2 linked regions of the Arabidopsis thaliana genome follow. The protein of the gene in region 1 purifies or fractionates together with the protein of each later gene. This does not show direct contact. Each region holds a gene or a part of one and is shown on either strand. Other genes may lie near its edges.

Region 1 (10,487 bases):
GAGAGATATGTCAGAATGCATTAACACAGAGAAAACTCCTTATGCAAGTGCAGTAGGAAGTGTTATGTATTCTATGATTGGTACTCGTCCTGACTTAGCCTATGCATTAGGTCTGGTTAGTCGGTTCATGAGCAAGCCCGGGTCTATGCATTGGGAAGAAGTTAAATGGCTGTTGAGATATATAAAGGGCTCACAAGAGTTGTGTCTTGTGTATACCAAAGGGAAGAATTTGAATATTATGGGTTACTGTGATTCAGATCATGGTGGAGATCTTGAAAAACAAAGATCTGTTAGTGGATATATTTTCACTGTGGGAGACAACACAGTTAGTTGGAAATCTTGTCTGCAGTCAATTGTTGCATTGTCTACTACTGAAGAAGAGTTTATAGCCTTAACAGAAGCTGTGAAAGAAGCTATTTGGGTTAAAGGGCTAATGGAAGATCTTGGTTTCAAGCAGGATAAAGTTCAGGTGTGGTGTGACTCTCAGTCTGCGATTTGCCTAACCAAGAACAATGTGTTCCATGAAAGGACTAAACACATGTTGCGTAAACGGGCATTTATGAGTGAGATCATAGAAGAAGGGGAAATAAATGTGGTGAAGATCCACACGTCAAACAATCCTCCAGATATGTTGACTAAGTGTATCCCAATTCACAAGTTTGTTTCAGCTTTGGAGTTTCTGAAGTTGATCAAGTGGGACTGAGCTTTCATGCTCGGTTTGCTGAAGGTTAAGTCCATGTATGGCATCTACTATGTTTGATGAAGACTTGTATCAAGGTGGAGATTGTGAAGGTGTGATCCAATTCTTCCGGTTTAGTCTGATGTCAACTTGATTAGACCGGTTAGTATTGGTTAGTGATTGATTGTTGGTTTAAGCATCAATTGAAGGGTTAGAAGACTGATTTTAAGTGTTTGAGAAAAGGATCAGAAGACTCCAGCTGGTTTAGAGGGTTTGCCGTTTTGGTCTGGTTCTATAAATACTTTGTATTCTCAGCTTCTTTCTCTTTGTACTGTATTTTCTTCTTCTTCGTTTGTAATCTCCATTGAAGAGCTCTGTTCTTGAGTTTCTGGAGAAAGACATTAAATCTTCATAGTGGATTGCTGGATTGAATTCAGCCCCAGACATAGATTCATCACATCGATGGATTAAACTGAGTAAACAACTTTGTGTCTTTGTTCTTTCTTTTTGTTTTCATTCACGATTCAAAAAAGTGTTTGATTCTTGAGAGTTGAGAGAGATTGAGTTGGAAAGTGTTAAAGTTTCGTGTGGTTTTGAGCATCGGTTTACAACATTTATACGTACATAATCTATTTATATTTTCATAAAACTTATATTTATATTTAAACCTTTAACGAACTCTACTATATGATTGTGATCGTTACTTTTAATTTTTTTATACATATATTCTTTCGCGCTGCGCAGCTTGGATCGATACCTAGTACATTTATTTATTGTACTTGTTTTCTAACGTCACGCTGTTTAGATGACTGAAAAACGGCATGTAGTTTTCAGTCCAGATCATCATCTCTACCATTCCCTTATGGCCTTATCTAACCCAACGATAAAACGCAGGAGCCATAGAAGAATAACAGATAAAACTCTCTGTGTGAGTGAGTGAGACTCAACCATGGCGTCTTTGGCTCAGCAATTCTCGGGATTGAGATGTTCCCCACTCTCTTCTTCTTCTAGGTTATCGAGGAGAGCTTCGAAGAACTTTCCCCAGAACAAATCTGCCTCTGTTTCTCCGACTATTGTCGCCGCGGTTGCAATGTCTAGCGGTCAAACAAAGGAGCGTCTTGAGCTGAAGAAGATGTTCGAAGATGCTTATGAACGATGTAGAACTTCTCCTATGGAAGGTGTTGCTTTCACCGTCGACGATTTCGCTGCTGCTATTGAACAATACGACTTCAATTCCGAAATCGGCACTAGGGTTTGTCTATTCTCTTTTACCTACTTCAGATTCTTTGGGGAATTTGAAATATAGTTCTAAAGATATGAGTTTTATTACATGACAATGGTGGTTCTGTAGAAATTGTGTATCATTTGTGGTTAATGATGTTGTTTTAGGTAAAAGGAACAGTGTTCAAGACTGATGCAAATGGTGCATTAGTTGACATTTCTGCAAAGTCATCGGCTTACTTGTCGGTAGAACAAGCGTGTATTCATAGAATTAAGCATGTGGAAGAAGCTGGTATTGTACCTGGTATGGTGGAAGAGTTTGTCATCATTGGTGAAAATGAAAGTGATGACAGTTTGCTATTGAGCTTAAGGAATATTCAATACGAACTTGCTTGGGAACGTTGCAGGCAGCTTCAGGCTGAGGATGTTATTGTCAAGGCTAAGGTATGTTTGAAACTTGTTTGCTACTATTGTGGTTTCTGTGGTTATAGTTTCAGGAATTTGATTGTTATGTGTAGGTTATTGGTGCTAACAAAGGTGGATTGGTTGCTCTTGTGGAAGGTCTTCGTGGATTTGTGCCCTTTTCGCAGATATCATCGGTTAGTAGTTGCCTCAGAACTGTGAATATTTCAAGGTTTTGTTAGTTGATTTTAAGACGAAACACAACCTGATATATATGAAATGTGTTTTCTTCTACATTTTTGTCAGAAAGCAGCAGCTGAAGAGCTTCTTGAAAAAGAAATACCTCTTAAGTTTGTGGAGGTTGATGAGGAACAAACAAAGCTTGTCCTCAGCAACCGTAAAGCTGTAGCAGATAGCCAAGCTCAGCTTGGAATTGGATCTGTGGTCCTCGGAGTTGTTCAGAGCTTGAAACCTTATGGTGCCTTCATTGACATTGGTGGAATCAATGGGCTTCTTCATGTCAGTCAGATAAGTCATGACCGTGTCTCAGATATCGCAACTGTTCTTCAGCCTGGTGACACTTTGAAGGTATACTCTTAAACGTTTAATTTCAGATGTTAAAACAACAGTCCCTAACTTTTAATGTACAGGTTATGATATTGAGTCACGACCGTGACAGAGGAAGAGTAAGTCTCTCCACAAAGAAGCTGGAGCCAACACCTGGTGATATGATTCGTAACCCAAAACTTGTGTTCGAGAAGGTAACTCTATTTCCATTCAAAAAAACTTTCCCTATTTTCTTTTATGTCTCAATCATTTGCTACTTTCTGCTGTCTCAAGGCTGAGGAGATGGCTCAGACATTCAGACAGAGAATTGCGCAAGCAGAAGCCATGGCTCGTGCAGACATGCTTCGCTTCCAACCTGAGGTATCATTCTCCACTTGCCTGATCTCGTTTATCCATGCTTATTGATTTCTTATTGCAATCAAGTTCCAAAAGTGTACATGTTTAGTAACCATCTAAGATTTTTTCCTTTTACATTGATCATCACAAATGAGTTAATTTGGATTTTGAGAATTATGTTGTTGTTTTCGGTATGTTGGTTTGTTTAACCATAACCATAGAAGGTTGTAATTGGTGGAGGATAATAAGCTCATGTTGTTGTGTGTTTGAACAGAGTGGACTGACGCTGAGTTCTGACGGGATACTAGGACCACTCGGATCTGAGTTACCAGATGATGGCGTAGATCTAACGGTCGACGACATTCCTTCTGCAGTTGATATTTAGATTCTAAAGCTTTAGTGTATTTTTTCATACACAAAAACACCTCCTTGAGCTTAATTGAATATGTAGTTTACTTCCTACAAGACATTTTATCATGTGTACTTTGTCTTTTGTAATCGATATGTTCTGTTACAATGTCAAGAAACCAAAGAAAGGCTTTGCCCAAGACCAAACAGAGCACACGGTCTTAAAAAAAAAGATATTGTTAAATTTTTAATAAGAATTTATCCATAACCTTTACGGCAGAACAGGTGTCTTGACAAAGTTTGTTTAGCGGCTGTTGTTAGCAAATGTGATTGGGTCTACCCTATTTTGAGTGTGATTGAAGCTGGAGAAGTAAGAAGAAACTGTAACATATTGTCTAAAGAAGCAGGAATTAGATGGGTAGGTTTACCAAATGGCTTGTTTAGTTCTATTCAAGGATTTCGACACTAGTTTTAAAATCACCAGGGAACGTGATAGGACTATGAGGGTGGTGTTGGGTATGGATATCTTCAGACTCATTGAGTATATGGAGGATCAAATAGGTACTGAAATATTTCAAATGTCCAAAGACTTGATTTGATTAAAGTATCTTGGAGACGAGGAAATGGTTAGACTAAGAAATTATTCGTTTTTGTAGGGTTCTGGCTGATTAAGAATCCACGTAACGTTTTGGAAGATGGTGTGATTAAATATCTTAAGCAAGGGATAAATGTAAAGCACCAAATCAGATTTCGTACCGTTTTCAATAATTTTGATATTTTGAAGAATGAAGTTGTTCTTGGTGGTGGTGATTCGGAACTGGAAATTCAGATGGAGGTTTCTATGTGAGTGTATCTTGCGTTAGGATTGCTCTAAACAGACCTGCGAGGATTCCTTCATTCTCGCACAAGGTTATCGTATCTCACAAATTTGATTGATGGTCTCTTCTCATTGGCTAATGATATGCAACATGATCAAACTCATTTGTCTGAATCTCACCAAAGCTCATAGTTTTTCGACAAGCCCAAACTGATAGATCTGCATTACAACTCTCTATCTATATTTTATACGTTATAAGAAACAAGTCAAGCTTTTTTTATTATTTTATAAGTTAAATTTACCTTTTCAACTTGGTATGAAAATCATCAAAGAAAATATTTTAATGCAAACCATTTCTTCTCTCTATTTTATTTCATTGATTTTCTAGAAAAACACAAAACATATTAAAACTGATTATAAATATATTATTTTTGTGATTTATATTTTTCTATAATTTTAAGCCAATGATATTTAATTATTTGTCTTAAAATTTAAAATTCATCAATAATAATTAATAAATAGTGCATAGAAAAACTAAAAAAAATAATCTTTTTGAAACAATTTTTTTTTCTAAGAAATGAATTAATAAAGAACAGAAGGAGTATAATATAGCTTATTATCCAAAAATTTAAGCGAGGTTTCTTCTAGTTACAATTATGTTTTGTAATACTATGAGATATATTTTCCATATAAGATCAAATTGGATAATAGAAATTTATGGCATTTCGAAATAATACAAATTGAAATGTTTTATATAGAATTCCTTAGATGGTTTTTTTTTTTCATTTATTCTTCGATACTAAAATTTGCATTCTTTTTTTTTGCTAAATAAAATTTGCATTCTTTAAGAAAGGCCATTAAGCATAGGTAGCAACAATTTATCTCGTATAAATCAATTTATTTGATGGATTAGTCATTTGATCCATATCAGATATAAAGAGATATTTAATGGGATTAGTCGCTAATTACTATATAATATCATACCAGGAAAGGTTATTTGATTATATGCCATTTAACAACAAACAAGTCAAACACTCAGTAACTGTACATCGATTATCGATTGATATTTTGGGATCGATAGTACTTTCATAGTATCAGTAGTGATATATTTTCGGATTTTAGTAATCCTTGGTTAAATTAACAAATATTACTAATAGATGTTAAAACCAAACTACTGATATCAACTACAACTAGTTGATGTAAAAAGGTAGGTAGTACCATTCTACTAATCCAATAGTTTTCAAAATTGATGTACACAAATATTTGAAATAATCTATTAGGTTGTTTAAAAAAAAATGAAAGAGAAGGCGATTAAAGCCATAATAGCATTATCATTCTTATTATTGATTACTTATTAAAAAGAGAGGGGGATACAAAAGCAAATTAAGGGTAGCCGAGGTTGTCATGGAAATAAAAGTCTTGAAAAAACACAAGACCAACCACTCTTATCTCACAAACATAAAAGAAGTTTGCTATATATAATTATAAGAAAATTATAGATATAGCTAAAACCTTGCATTAAAAAGAAAGCGATAAAAGATAGCTTCCATGCATGTTAGGGATTTGATTTTGCGGCGGAAGGAGCGAGGCTAGTAAGACCATCACAACCTGATTCTTTAGAGGCCAAGGCTGCAACGATCGGATTCAGCTTCGACTCGTTCTCAACAAATGTCTTGTAGTCTAAACTCGTGTCTTCATAAATGTCCCACCATTTTTTCACCAACATTTTAATATCTTCTCGGTCCATATGCTCCTCTTCTCCAGTGAATCTCCAAGGTTTTGAGCCCTAGAAAATGATTCAAAATTAACATGACCAACATTAATTAGTAACATGATCTATTATATTACATATCAAGAGTCCTATTAAGAGATTAAAAACAAACATACTTTAGCACAATAATGAACAACATTGATTTGGTCGAGGTCAATGCATTCGGGATGACGCCAAAGCATAGCTAGTACGAGGTTGTACGTCGAAGGGATTGGCTTGTAAATATCTCTAAAGTATATATTCAGAAAATCTTATAAATAGATAAACAATAATATTAGATTTGTAAAATAAATGTAAATAATGAAAATAAAAGTCTTAAAAAATCCTAATTGATCGGACCTGTTCGGCGAATGAAGTAGGAGTGGTGACTTGAACAGTTTGAAGAAGATCCTCGTAAGTGAGGAGATTTGGTTCAAAGACCAACATACCCGCGTTGAAATACAATGGCGGCACATGACCAAGACTGTTCATCGGCCACCTCACTTTTTCGGGCGACTGTTGGCAGTAACCAATCTTGTATTGAGGTGTTTTTGACCAAGAACCCTCGCAAAAACAGTCTTTGACGGCGTACAAGTAGCCAGATGGAGTGTCAAATAGATGATCGATGTTGCTAAACACTTGTATGTCTCCATCTAAATATATCATCTTCTCATATTCCACAAACTGCATTTATATATGTAATCATATGGTTAGAATAAAATATATATACTATAAGACTTAAGACAAACTTTATACATATGTTCTTGAAATGTTATTTACTAAATTAAAACAACTTCTGAGAATAATAATAAGCGTTATTATTATAGATTTGTGACTATATATAAATCTTGATTAGTATACGGCACATGACAATTTATTTGTTAGATAAAATGATAAGCGTTATTATTTGTTTCTGTTAAAAAATTCACAAACATTCAAATCCACGTGTCACTCAAAGTAATTTGTGGGTACGTGTTTACATGCAATAAACGATAGTTGACAAAGAAAACCGATACAGTGATATACGGATATATGCATGTAAGTAAGATCCTACCTCCCAAATTCGAAGCTTGGAGTAGTTGATAACGTAATAAGCCATAGCATAACCAGCTTGGTTTTCCGGCGGATAAACCGGTTCAATCTCCCGGATGATACATCCTTGAGCCACCAAGATTTGACGGTGTTCTTTCGGTACGTCTGGGAGCATAGCCACAACAAGAGGATAAGCTGCTTTCACCTTACGAAGTCCCTTGGCTAAACCAACCACACCCATCCAATAGTCTTGGTTACCAGCTAGGAAAGTGACGTAAGCCCTTTTTCCATCATTAGGAATCACCGCCACGTCAGCCTCTACCTTTCTTTCGATGTTCATCTCCGTTGGTGCCATCTCAAAAGAAGCTTAGTCTCTTTAGATAAGTTTTAAAAGATAAGAACTTTTTTTTTGGTTGCGGTTATAAGATATGTCGATGGTGATATTATATAAAGGAGAGAAAGAGGAAGTTGAATTAATTATGGTTTTGATTTTGAATATCTTAGGGGATTTTCTTATGGAAAACGTTTTTTGATTGTGATTGACCCGATTCTTGTTTGCCAAGATTTAGAATCGGATAAAGATATTAAATCTAGAATCGTAAATAATATGGAAATTGAAATATTAATTGGTGTGATAAATGTTGATGTATATGGTACATACCATGTTCTTGTAAGTCTTTTGTGTATGGAATATTTATTTAGTTCAACGTGGCCCTATTATTATATCGGTTTTATCCTAAGTTGGACGTTTTCAAGATACCGTTAATTCATCCGAATATTTTGTAGATTGGAGTTTCCTACTACTAATTTTTTTTCTTTATTTTTTGAATATCAGGAGGTTTTGGACCGAAGCCCGTAATTTTTCCAGGCCCGAAACCACATCATGTAATATTAGTTTCATCCCAAACATCATTCGAACCGGCGACCTCTAAGCTTCGCCAAAGGTCTTTACCAATTGAGCTAATGCCAGTCGAAAAACCAAATTAGGTATTAAGTTTGGTAAATTCAGGTCAATTAGTGATATTTTTAGGTATAAAATATTCAAATGCCATATACAGTCGAAAAACCAAATTAGCATAACAATTAGTCTCACTGTCTTCTTTCAGACCTAAATACGGATTTGAGTTTGCTAATTTTTGTTGGTCAAAAGAACGAAAAGATTGCGATCACAAATGAAATGATGTTTCGTTTCATAATTGGGTTGAAATAAAAACATGGGCTTCAGAAGTTGGGATTTCATTTGCATTACAAGCCCATTTCATTGTCCATGGCCTACAAGAGAGGATGTTCTCAATTCTTATGAACGAGACATAAAAAATCAGAATCAATCATGCAACGGGAACTCGGTTTAGACTATGGAAAGAATGTGACCAAAATGGCTTGAGAAAATGATTTCATACATGTTAAAAGGGTCGGTCACATTTCATTTCATACATCATCGTGTCTTCTCTTGGACTGAAGAGCTAAACGAGCGTCTCTCTCTTTCTCAAACTGTCTGTAATCAGCTCTCTCCAAGAAACCAACTTTGTCGAGATACTGATCCGAGCTTTTCTTGTACTTATCTAGCTCGTCTTCAACACCTTTGTGTTCTTCCTTATACTCTCCCCAATCTTTCTTCGTCTTGTCCAAAACACTCAGCTTTTGTTTCTTTTTTATCTGCTCAAGAACCGCATCAACCGCTGAAGGCGCTGCTGAGGAGGAAGAGGAGCCTTTGTTTCCCCTCTCCAATGCTTCCTTTGAATCCGCTTCAACTAACCGCTTTACTTCGATTTCTTGACCCGCAAAATCTTTGACCTCGGTTATCTGGAAATAATCGAGAAGAACATATGTATTAACTGAATGAATACGCCCCAAGTGCAAATCACAGATCACAGAGGTTCAATTAATTAGATTCTATTCTAACACATTCCATATTCCTAGTTCCAAAAAGCTGATAAGATCATAGTAACTAACAACACAAACTCAAACAAAAAGGAAGTTTTATTTATGGATTGCAACGCATCAATCAAACCACATTAACTTGAGACAGAGATTCTAGTCATCCACAATCCATCTTCTTACTTCTAAACAGCTGATACGATCAAAGATTCTAAGTTATATCAATACAATAACAAGCTAAAACACAGATTCAAACAAAAAGCAAGCATTGTTTTCATATCACAAAGGATCAATCAAACTACACTTTTTCTTGAGACGTAGATTCTAATCCTACACAATCCACCTTCCTAGTTTTAAACAGCTGATAAGATCTTACATTCTAACAATACGGTACCGCGCCAAAACACAGATTCGAACCAAAAACAAACTGTACATACGGATAAAGAAAGGTTAAATCAAATTGCATTTTAACTGAAAACAGAGATTCCAAAATCCATCTTCTTAGTTACAAACAACTAATCAAACAATTCTGAGCCAAAAACAAAGTCAAGAAACGAGCTTTAAACAATCCACCTTCCTAGTTTTAAACAGCTGATAAGATTTTACATTCTATCGATACGGTACCGCGCCAAAACACAGATTCGAACAAAAAAAAACTTTCGGGGATCTTACATCCTAACGATACAGTACCAAGCTTTAAACAATCCACCTTCCTAGTTTTAAACACAGATTCGAAAAAAGGTTCAATCAAAATGCATTTCAACCCAAAACAGAGATTCCAGTCCTCCACAATCTATCTTCTTAGTTCCAAACAACTGAGAAGGCCTTCGAATCTAACAATTCCGAGTCAAACACAAACTCAAACAAGAAATGAGGTTTATTCGGGGATCGTAAAGGTTCAATCAAAATCAAACTACATTTTAACTCGAGACAGAGATTCTACTCCTACACCATCTATCTTCTTAGTTCCTAAACAACTAATCAAACCTTAGATTCATAAAATTCTGAGCCAAACACAAACTCAAACAAGAAACGAGCTTTATTTTCTTATCGTAAAGGTTCAATCAAACCACATTTTTACTCGAGACAGTGATTCAACTCCTACACAATCTATCTTTTTAGCTCCAAAACAGCTGATAAGATCTTATCTTCTAACAATAACGAACCAAAACACACAAATTCAAACATAAAACTTTTCTAACCTCAATCTTGCCCCGGCTCGATGCAGCTGCAGCCGTTACAGTTGCGTTTCGCACCGCAGCTAAAGCGGCTGCAGCAATACTCTTAGCCTCCTCACTACAGCTATGATTCAAAACACTCTTCTGTACATCAGAAACACAAGTATCCTTCTTCTTCACATTCACACCGAGATAACTTTTCCAATTCTGCAAATTTTTTTTGAAAAACACATTCAAAATCCCAAACGTAAGAAAAGAATCAAAACGCAGAGAGAGTAG
Region 2 (10,445 bases), on another chromosome or scaffold:
TCTATACCCATATATCTCCAACACCTTCACTTCATTTCGATCAATGAAGACTCCCTGATTACTTACACAGTGCAAGCCCATCACAAAGAGATCACCATTCATACAGAGTTAGGATTGTACGTAATACTTGACGCGGAAGCATGTGGATTAGTTAACTGCGTATATATTAAGTTTGGATTTAGACACCTTGAGCACAAAAGTTTCTAGCTTTGTAGTGAAACGTGAGTCTCTTGAGGGTTTTGTGGGATATAGAGTATACTTTGCTTTCTATACGTTGTCATCTAAGTGTTGGATAATTAACTGACCATGAAAGTGTTGTAAGGATAATTCCTCAAGTATTGGACAACAACAAAGCATTTTATGGCACAAGTCTTCGCATGTATACCAAGTTGAATGGAGAAGGAGACTCTTTTGCACTGAAAGAAACACTTGTGGTAATTATGATATTCGATCTGGACCATGATCTTAATTTTCGAATTTGTCAAAGACTGTAAGTACTAAATTGGGCTTGATGGGCTCTTCATTGGACTAACATAAATGTCTCGGACAAGTGTATGTGTTCTTCCTTGTACATTTTCACCTGCAACCTTATCAGCCATAGCTATAGCATTCTGAAATAGAATCGGTCAATGTGAACTTTTATGGGAGAAGAAAGGATTTACTATTTCAAAATAAACATATTTTCTCATGAATTACATCATTACAAGAAATCTCAACAAAAGAGGATGAAAATGTTAAAGCGAAGATGAGTTTTCACTTCCAGAGTTCTTCCATGGGGATTCCACGCTCTTGTGCAACATCGCGGAACTGTCTCATCTGTTGTACTGCTGCAAGAGTGGCTCTCGCATTGTTGAGAGCATTGTTGCTTCCAAGCTGTTTCCCCAATGCATTCTCGACTCCTGCCATCTCTAGCACAATCCTAACCGCTCCTCCAGCAATCACACCAGTACCTGGTGAAGCAGGTCTAAGCATCACCTTGGCTGCTCCATAATCACCCTCTGATCTATAATACAAAAACCAAACAAAACCCTCTTAAAACATAACTTAAACCCATCTCCAATTGTTCCAAAACATAGCTCAGTGGCCTATTAACCAACCGATTCTTCTAATTGATTGTGCACAACACAAAGATCAATCTCATAAAACCAGCATTCTGAGTAACAACTTCCATAAATCAATCCTTAAACCAAGCAAATCATCACATCCAACACAATGCTAAAAAGACTAAACCCCACAATCTTAGCTCATTGTCTACTGATTAACAAAAACCGATTCTTCTAATCATTAGGGCATTATTCAATATTTTAACTTTTGTGCACAATGCAAACATCAGTTTCGTAAAACAAGTACCATAACACCAATCTGTAAACCAAACAAACCCATCACAAATCCAACACATGACTGCACAATACTAATCCCAAAATCTTAGTTCATCACCAAGTAAGACTTTTACCATCCAAAACCAATTCTTCCAACAATTAACACACATTACAAACATCAAGTCCAAAACTTTGATTACCTGTGAGGGAAAGTAGAATACTTAGTCATAGGAACTTGAACAATGTTTCTCCTAGCATCAATAGCAGATTTCTGAACAGCAGCAACAACTTCTTTAGCCTTAGCACAACCAACACCAACATTCCCTTGTTTATCACCAACAACAACGATAGCTCTAAACTTCAATTGCTTCCCTCCTTTAACAACCTTAGTCACTCTCCTAACTTGCACAACTCTCTCTTCAAACCCATCTCTAATCTTATCTTTCTTTGGCTTCCCACCAATACCTGAACTCTTCTTATGCTTTGAGTCCATCACATAAATATCTTTCCCAAGCATACTCTCACCACTATACGCAGGTCCATAGAGCTCTTCAAAAGCGGTAGCGATCTCTTCCTCTGTCTCGTCGCTTCCTTCGTCGAAATACGGAGGAGAGACGAATCCTTCGGGAGCAATTGGTGGGTCGAAGACGACATTTGCGGTTATTTCTGGTGTTTCGTCTTCGAAGAAGATGGTTTCGGTATCGGTCGATGAGGCTTTGACGAGAGTGAGAGATGAGAAGCGGCGGTTGAGGAAGGAGGAGAAAGAGACGATGGATTTTGTGGAGGAAGAGGAGATGAGAGAAGAGGTTCGGGTGTGGAGTGAGAGTGAAGAGAGTGATGAGAGAGCTGATGCTGTCGCCATTGAAATGGAGGAGCTTTTTTGGATGAGGAAGGAAGTGAGAATGAAGCAAAAGGCTTATCCAGCACCAGATCGTAAAAACTGTAAAGATAATTGTGTTGGGGCTTTTAAAGTAATTATCAAGTTTCTTTACAAATTGGCCACAATATATTTTATAATAACATTTGAACCCTCATATCCTTTTGTTTGAATTTGGGCTCTTCGCTCACTCCTCCCTCTTTGTGGCCCAATGAAGTTTCTTCAAGCCCATACAAAAGTAACTAGTAGTAATCCACATCAAACCCTATAGGCTTGCGGATACATCTTAGGTTTACTAAATCTTAAAATAGAAAAGATCAGTGACCATATGCTAATTCAACATTTTATTTTTACATACTTTGGTCATTTTTAATATGGACTTTGTTTTAATTAAGATCGATTATACTAACTACAATCGCATATGACACCAACGAGCAACGTTAATTGCTTTTATGATTTTAAAAGTATGTGATTTGCAAACTAATTAAAAGGTGACCATATATAAAAGAGTGTACTACAAAAAGGGCCTACTACTATTCAATTAACGTTGCTCGTTAGTGTCACGTGGGGAAGTTAAGGTTCCCACTTCCCCCACCACTTCTCTCAGTTCTCTTCTTCTTTTTATTGTCCCATTCCAAATTTTAACCAACACATCAAGCAAACTTCATTAATTTATGTTCAGTGTTGTAGTTGCAAACGTTATTTATTATTTTACGTTTACAAGTTTAGAACTAGTTCGAATCGTGATAATCTTGAATAAATCATAACTTTGTTCATCTAATCATAAGAACATAGAACTTTGACATGGTGTCTCCGGATCTTGTTGACTTAGTTCTATCTTAAAGTTAAGCTACACATATTATAGGGACCCCATATTATAGTACCCAAACAAACAATTAGAGAGTTTGTATGCAAATCCATAATATTTACCGTAGAATTGTATGGGTTTAATGAGGAAAGAAAAAGAAAAGAAAAAGAAAAGAAGAGAAGGACACTGAAGGAGAATGTGATGCTGCTGAATAAAAGATACAATCAAAAAATTGACAGGCAGTACAATAATGATAAGTAGTGTCATGACAGCTGACGACTCTACTGCCCAATCTTGACGTTATTTATTTTTGTCCATTTTTTCTTAAGATATTATTTCAACTTAAAAGAAGTAGAAAATAAACCATAAGTGCATAACAATATTCCTTTTATAAATTGGGTTCAAGATATTGATTCGATTCTGTTTATTTCAAGTGTCGTGGAACTCAATTTTATGTTATGCCTGCCTCGGCAACAAAGATTTTCGTTCAAGTGGCTCTATGAAAATAAGTTAGGGCAAACTAGATCGATTGATGTAAACACAAATAGAGCTAAATAGTGGAGATAGTAAACTGGTGATTTTGTTTCGTAAATAGTCAAAAGGAGGGGGTGACAAAAAATAGATTTGTCCCTTACCTCTAAGAGATATAGAGCAAAACGTTTGCATAGCGCTGTACCATTTCCTTCTATATTTTATATATGTGGATGTGCATGGATCTAGCTGATGACATAACACGGCAAAATCATTTAACATTTGATTAGCATTGGCATCAATATTTGACGACGCTCCTCATTATTTATATATGTGGATGTGCTGATGTGCATGAATCTAGCTGATGACATAACCTAGTATATGTGCATGGTTTTATGGTGTGAACAAGTTTTTTTTTTTTCTTTTCTTGGTTTTAGGTGTGAACTTTAAGTTAGAGATGATCTTCAAATCTCACGAACCACAAACCTCCTTGCACGTTAAGAATAGCCTCTCTTTTTTTCTTTTGTTGCTTCTAGTCTCAGAGTGTCTTCGAGATATGTGTAGTCTTTAGTGTACCCTGAGACCTGAGTACAAGATCGAAAAGAAAATATCTCGAATAACAGAGTTGTGTTTGCTGTTTTTACCATTTAATTATGCTAATATCTTTGTTTTACATAATACCAATTGAAAAATGAATACATAATTCAAGTTTGGACCATTCTTGTATATCCACTTTTGGCTTCGTGGCCCCGATAGCTAATTTGATTGACCTTATCATCTACACCAAACAAGAAATTAAATTGTCAAATTAATTTAGTGGTGGCCCTATACTATAAAATCGTAAACACTTCTTTTTGAAACTAAATATAAACCTTACGACACATTTATGTGCAAATTAGTGGACATATTCCTCAGTAATAACGTTTTTACAAACCTACAGTTGGATAAATTATTGAGTCACTCCATGATTAAACCAACAACATAAGAGAAAAATAAAATAGTACACTACGAATGATCTTTTAAATATGTTATTCTTTTTTGATACAGAAACTTTAACTACCAAAAAAAAAAAGCGAATGATTCATAAAAACGCAATGTGGTATGTTTGGTCTGTTTTTTAGTTCGAATCTCAACTTCTTGTTACCACAAAAATAAAACATTACACAATGTAAATTTACTGTTCAGTCTTGCTTTTCCAATCACTACATTAGCACATATTCTTCACATGTATTTTCCACTAATCTCGCGACAAAATGTTCACAGTGTTTCTCAGTTTCTCTCTCTCAATATTTTCTTGTCAAACAACATGCATATTTGAACCCGCATGGTGAAATAGCATCGGCATTAACATGATCAACCACAAAATAAACCGGGGTGGTGTCATAGCATCGACATTAACTTAAAACTACAAAATAGAGCTGGGTCCTCGTCAGGTTTTAAGGATACATATGTATGCATGTATGCATATACAAAATAATAGAGCACTAAAGCTTGTTCGTACTCTTTTTTACACAACATGCTAATAATTTTTATACCTTAGGAGTGAAATTTTAGTGGTCCAACAACTTAAGCACCTAAGATCCTTCCCCACTTTTGTTTGGGGCTCCTTTATATCTCTTCCAATGGTTACTTTTACTTCCTCTTCTTCTCTTCTTGTTCCATCTTTCATGTGAGAGAGAGAGTTGAATTTTGCAGATGAGTATGAGAAGAAGCAAAGCGGAAGGGAAGAGGAGCTTACGAGAACTGAGTGAGGAAGAGGAAGAAGAAGAAGAAACTGAAGATGAAGATACTTTTGAAGAAGAAGAGGCTTTGGAGAAGAAGCAGAAAGGTAAAGCTACAAGTAGTAGTGGAGTTTGTCAGGTCGAGAGTTGTACCGCGGATATGAGCAAAGCCAAACAGTACCACAAACGACACAAAGTCTGCCAGTTTCATGCCAAAGCTCCTCATGTTCGGATCTCTGGTCTTCACCAACGTTTCTGCCAACAATGCAGCAGGTAAATTTTTGTCATCTTTTTTCAAAACTCCTGCAACAATAACCATAAACAAGAACAAGAAATATGAGACCTTTTACCTTTTGTTTTTAAGGTTTCACGCGCTCAGTGAGTTTGATGAAGCCAAGCGGAGTTGCAGGAGACGCTTAGCTGGACACAACGAGAGAAGGCGGAAAAGCACAACTGACTAAAGACGGTGAAACGTGTGAGATCCCGGTTTGAAGGTTAATGAAACAGGCTTTGCTTACTCTCTTCTGTCAGTCTCTTTTAGCTCCTTGTAATCCTCTGTGTCTCTGTCTGTTTCTCCATATTACCTGTAATCAAAGCTATCTGCTAAACCTACGACATGGTTAAATAAATGCATTGAGACTTAGTAAATGCTTGAAGAAATTATGTGTAATAACTCTTTAAACTTGTCAAATGTTATTTCAAGCCAAGATCTTAAACTACACCAGGGATCTGTATTTGTTTTGCAATCAACAAATGAGGAGACAGCTAAATAGCTATCAAAAATAATAATCTGGGAGACACTTTTGATTCGTGATATATGTAGTTCTGTTACATGAAAGCTCATCAAAATCTGAAGCAAATGCAAGCTCCTTGTGGTTTAAAGATCTGTAAATCGAACCAAATAAATTAGATTGGAAGACTAATCCTAGTCACGTTTGATTCCCAACATTTTCATTGAGAACTCCCAAGCAACAATTGCTGCTGCATTAGCAGGGAATGCTCTCACAATGGTTGGACCCAAACCTGCATAGCATCCCTTGAGTCCTGCCCTCTTGTGAATCTGCAGAGATGATTTAAAGTCAAAAACAATATTTCATATACTCTTTTGTATCGGTAATTAGATTCATAGAGGGAAGATGGCTGACTGACCGAGCTCAACACTTTAAAAGGATTTCTCTCTGTAGCTTTCTCTGAAGAGGTCTGGATTATGGTTTTTGCTACATCAAAAGGCAAAACAGCTGACCAGCACTGCATCATAGAAGCAGAAGTAATATTCATATAAAATAGCAACATTTTTTATGATGGAATTTATGAAACACACTATATAGATTCCTACAGCTATGCCTCCAAGACCACCAGTGAGAACTCCTATCCCCATGTCAACCAAGTAACCATCTTTCAGCTTAGAATCCTCCAATCTCGAGTGGATATGATACCGTAAGTACTCATAGACAGTAAAAAAGACAGCATTTCCCGTACATTCTCTTAATAAGGTTGCCGAACCACCACGAAAGATACCTGTTACCTGAAAGATATCCCCATCAACCTGATATTCGATTCTTAAGTAGAATATTTTAGCAACGAGAGTTTCTCACCCCATCATTTTTAACGGTCTGAACGGCACAATCAAGAGGACTGTTGTATCTACGGAAGTTAGGAACCAGAGAATCCGTTCCTTGGATCTGCATTCTACACTGAACAAAACAGTGAATGTCCCAAAACTCCATGGAAACCATCAAAGGTGATAATTGCGGGGAAAGAAATGGTGTTCTGGAGATTTCACCTTTACTAGCTCTGTTGGACATAACACAAAACTAATGATAGCTCCACCAAACATAGCAGACGGAACAATTATCTCTGGTCGTGGCCCATCATCTGGCAAAGTTCCCTTTACAATAAAACAAGAAAGAAGCGAAATTTGAAATCTGGAGGAAAATACAGTGAAAGATCATTTGGTCTGCAATGTTACCCGCAAGAACAGCTTAGCCTGGGAGTATATGCCAAACATCAATGAACTTTCAAAAGCCATTCCCATAAACGACGATGTTGCTCCCCTATAAAGTCCTTTGACCTAAATATGAATTCAAGTCAGCAAAAAAAAAACCCTTGTATCTGGCCAAACAGGTGATGATGGATCTAGTAAGATTCCATTGACACTGAAAAATCCAGACTTTCAATAACTAAAACTGTTTGCAGGATGCTAAAGTCTTGAAAACATAACAAAAAGAGTGCAGTGAAAATATACTCCTTCAGTTTGCAAGATCCTCGAAGCACAATGCAGCCCATTTTTGTATCTGAGCCCTTGCACATCTGTATTATGTTTCTGAAGTTTCACCTGACACAAGAAACAAAAGCCAAAACCCCAAAGTTAGAATCATTACTTCCAAACATGAGTGATGCCAATCCAGTGATAAACTATCTAAAAATGGTTAGCCTAAAACAAGAAATGATTTTTATGCATAGAAAGCTCCTAAGCAAAAAGAAACCATTTAAGTCCCAAACAGCATCAGAAGAAACCTCATTGAGATATATGATGGATGGTTTTATATCTTCTTTGCTTAACGATAGTTTTAGGCATAGAGGTAAACAATCAACACATAACTGATAAGTGAATATATATCAATGGTCCAGTGTAGAACACTTTCTCACACCAATGCATCCTTAATTAAAAACTAAAGTATAGAATTGAAGTACTGAAACATAATTTCTCAAATTGGAAGATGAAACACATATATACCCATTTGGTGTAAACTCTGATAAACACATATTTTACAAGAAAAATCGAAAACTAGGATTGAAAATTGAGTACCTTGACGGTGTCGAAAGGGTGGCCGACGGCGACAGTGGCGAGACCAGCCATCATTCCGGCGACATATTCCTTGTAAAACCCGAAGCCCTCTCCTGTCGTCGTCTTACTCTCTCCCATTCCCACAACGCCACCGAGCAGAAGAAGAATTATTCACTTCACTACGGTGTCTTTTGCTTTCTACAAAAAAAAATGAATAATTCAGAGTGAAAGTTAAATATTTATATGGGTGTTACAAAATTTTACTTTTTTTTAGATAAAGAATTGGTTGCTACATATATATGATAGATTCTATATTGTGTAGTGTGAACTAATTAGAATGATAGTTTCGGTCTAATCGTGACAAAATTATGATAGTTTAGGTAGATTGTTTCATAAAATTTGTTTACAATTGATTAACGAATGGCATGTGAAATGGTCAATGCTTTTTTGTGGTATATGTGTTAATATTATCATCTCGTTTTAAGGTTTTGAATAGAAGATGGCAGTGAATCCAAAGTGACTTATAAAGGAGCTAATCTCATTGCACAAAGTATAACTAATGACTTTTACGGCTCCATTTGTATGTAGCTCTTGGTTGCAAGGTGTGTAACGTGTGTTTAATGGTGAAAGATCTCTTTCTTCTCTATGAACTTGTGTGTTTTTGTGTAGGTGGAGACACTTCTTTTGTATATTCCCCTTGTATTGAAAATGTGCTTTGAATAGGTTGATCCCGCAGGACTCAGGTTTGGGTTGGTTCTTTTTGTGTAACCTTGTATTCTATCTTCTTCTTTAATCAAATCAGATGACAAAAAATTAAATATATATTACATTTGTATCCAGACATGTATAAACTTTAATTAAATCACTATCATAATGGTTTGTTGACACAAAGAATTCACCTAACCATGGTTATGTTTTTGTTATTTAATGAGATGAGATCAACCATGGTGATTAAAATAGGTTGATCCCTGAGCTTTGGATTGGTTCTTTTTGTGTAACTTTGTATAATTATATCAAATCAGACAAAAAAATATATATAAAAAATTACAACTGTATCCAAAGACATGTATAAACTTTAATTAAATCACTATCATAATGGTTTGTTGACACAAAGAATGCATTTAACCATTGTTATGTTTTTGTTATTTAATGAGATGAGATCAACCATAGTTCAGTTAAAATTTAATCAAATCACTATCATAATTGTTTGTTGACACAACGAATTCATCTAACCATGCATGATTGAGATATTTTAATGATGAACAAATAAAATAAAATAAAAATAATGATATGAGATCAACCATGGTTAAGTTAAATTCCATTTTGCTAATTATAGTTAAGTTAAGTTATATTGTTAGCTAAATCATTAGAGAAGCTAATTGTAATATTACCGAACAGTAAAAATATTACAAGACACTGAAGACGCATCGCCACCGTTAAAAGCTAAAAACTAACCCAGATGGTGGAAATCAACGGTCACTAACAAACACAAACGACATGAAGCAAATAAAAGATTGCACATATAGCCAAAATAGACGAAACAGAACATAAACACGTGGCGTAAAGAACATAATTATTTTACATCATTCTCATGTCACTCTACCCTCTCGGCTCAACGGTGCTTGCTCCTAGTGTCGTCGCTGTATAGCCTGCGGGATCACAACAACGGTCAAACCATCTTAGATCTGATCTACACCGTCCGGTCAGATAATAATAACAGAAACTGAGTACGTACCAATCGTAGACGGTGGGAGAGTTTGGGTGAGAAGGCTTGTCGAAGAGGTTTGTGCCCATTCCTCTAGTGGCGATGTTACTTCCTGGATGAAACACACTTCTCCACACGTTTTCCTTACGCGCCGATCCTGGCGTCGTCGGAGTTCCAGGACTCCCGGCCACCGCCGCCACAGTTTTACTACTGCTCCCTTCTCCTACACCTTCCAAAAACCATCACATGATATAATTATGAGATCATACGTTTCTACAAAGATCTGTATATGCAAGTTTATTACGGAGTTATGGTTGACAAAGAAAAATAAATACCTTTGATGTCAAGGGGTTGGGTGGTGATCTTATTGCGGAGGCGGCCAAGGCCATGCTCCGGTTTAGGTCCGGCTACAGTTTCATCCCACATATTTCTTTCTTTTTTTGGGTTGATTTTGGATAGAATTGTGTCAAGTGTGAAGTACTTACTAAAGGGCTTCCTTCATCTAATTTATAGACTCATTTTTAAACTATTCGTAAAAATATCTCTTTTCCTTTGTCGACTAGTTCTCTCATTTTTTATTTGACCCACAAAATATCTAGAGAAATACTATAATAGACTAGAAATAATTGACAAGTAATTGATAACTTAATTACCAAATGAAGTTTATATACTTGCACATAGAATTTTCGTTAAAATTTGATACGTTTAGCCAAAATGTTATTATTCTCTGTCAATAAACAACATGAATACATAATA

What was found.
Region 2: the proteins of RPS1 (region 1) and EMB3113 fractionate together in Arabidopsis thaliana (co-fractionation; one large-scale study listed by BioGRID). This does not show direct contact.

What each region holds. Positions count from the first base shown.
Region 1 is NC_003076.8:11,612,365-11,622,851, reverse strand, and holds RPS1 (ribosomal protein S1), read left to right. Parts: upstream 1-1,553; 5' UTR 1,554-1,628; coding exon 1,629-1,931; intron 1,932-2,068; coding exon 2,069-2,344; intron 2,345-2,418; coding exon 2,419-2,499; intron 2,500-2,608; coding exon 2,609-2,890; intron 2,891-2,952; coding exon 2,953-3,063; intron 3,064-3,142; coding exon 3,143-3,229; intron 3,230-3,479; coding exon 3,480-3,590; 3' UTR 3,591-3,852; downstream 3,853-10,487. Other genes in the region: GolS10 (Nucleotide-diphospho-sugar transferases superfamily protein), read right to left, coding at 5,926-6,156, 6,258-6,356, 6,481-6,804, 7,175-7,507; AT5G30490 (craniofacial development-like protein), read right to left, coding at 8,581-8,955, 10,233-10,415.
Region 2 is NC_003071.7:14,300,172-14,310,616, forward strand, and holds EMB3113 (Ribosomal protein S5 family protein), read right to left. Parts: upstream 2,326-10,445; 5' UTR 2,182-2,325; coding exon 1,520-2,181; intron 1,004-1,519; coding exon 754-1,003; 3' UTR 501-753; downstream 1-500. Other genes in the region: AT2G33796 (FBD-like domain family protein), read right to left, coding at 1-81; SPL3 (squamosa promoter binding protein-like 3), read left to right, coding at 5,171-5,469, 5,561-5,657; MBAC1 (Mitochondrial substrate carrier family protein), read right to left, coding at 6,122-6,256, 6,346-6,444, 6,533-6,721, 6,792-6,890, 6,980-7,084, 7,166-7,267, 7,418-7,531, 8,006-8,122; AT2G33830 (Dormancy/auxin associated family protein), read right to left, coding at 9,597-9,633, 9,720-9,918, 10,025-10,115.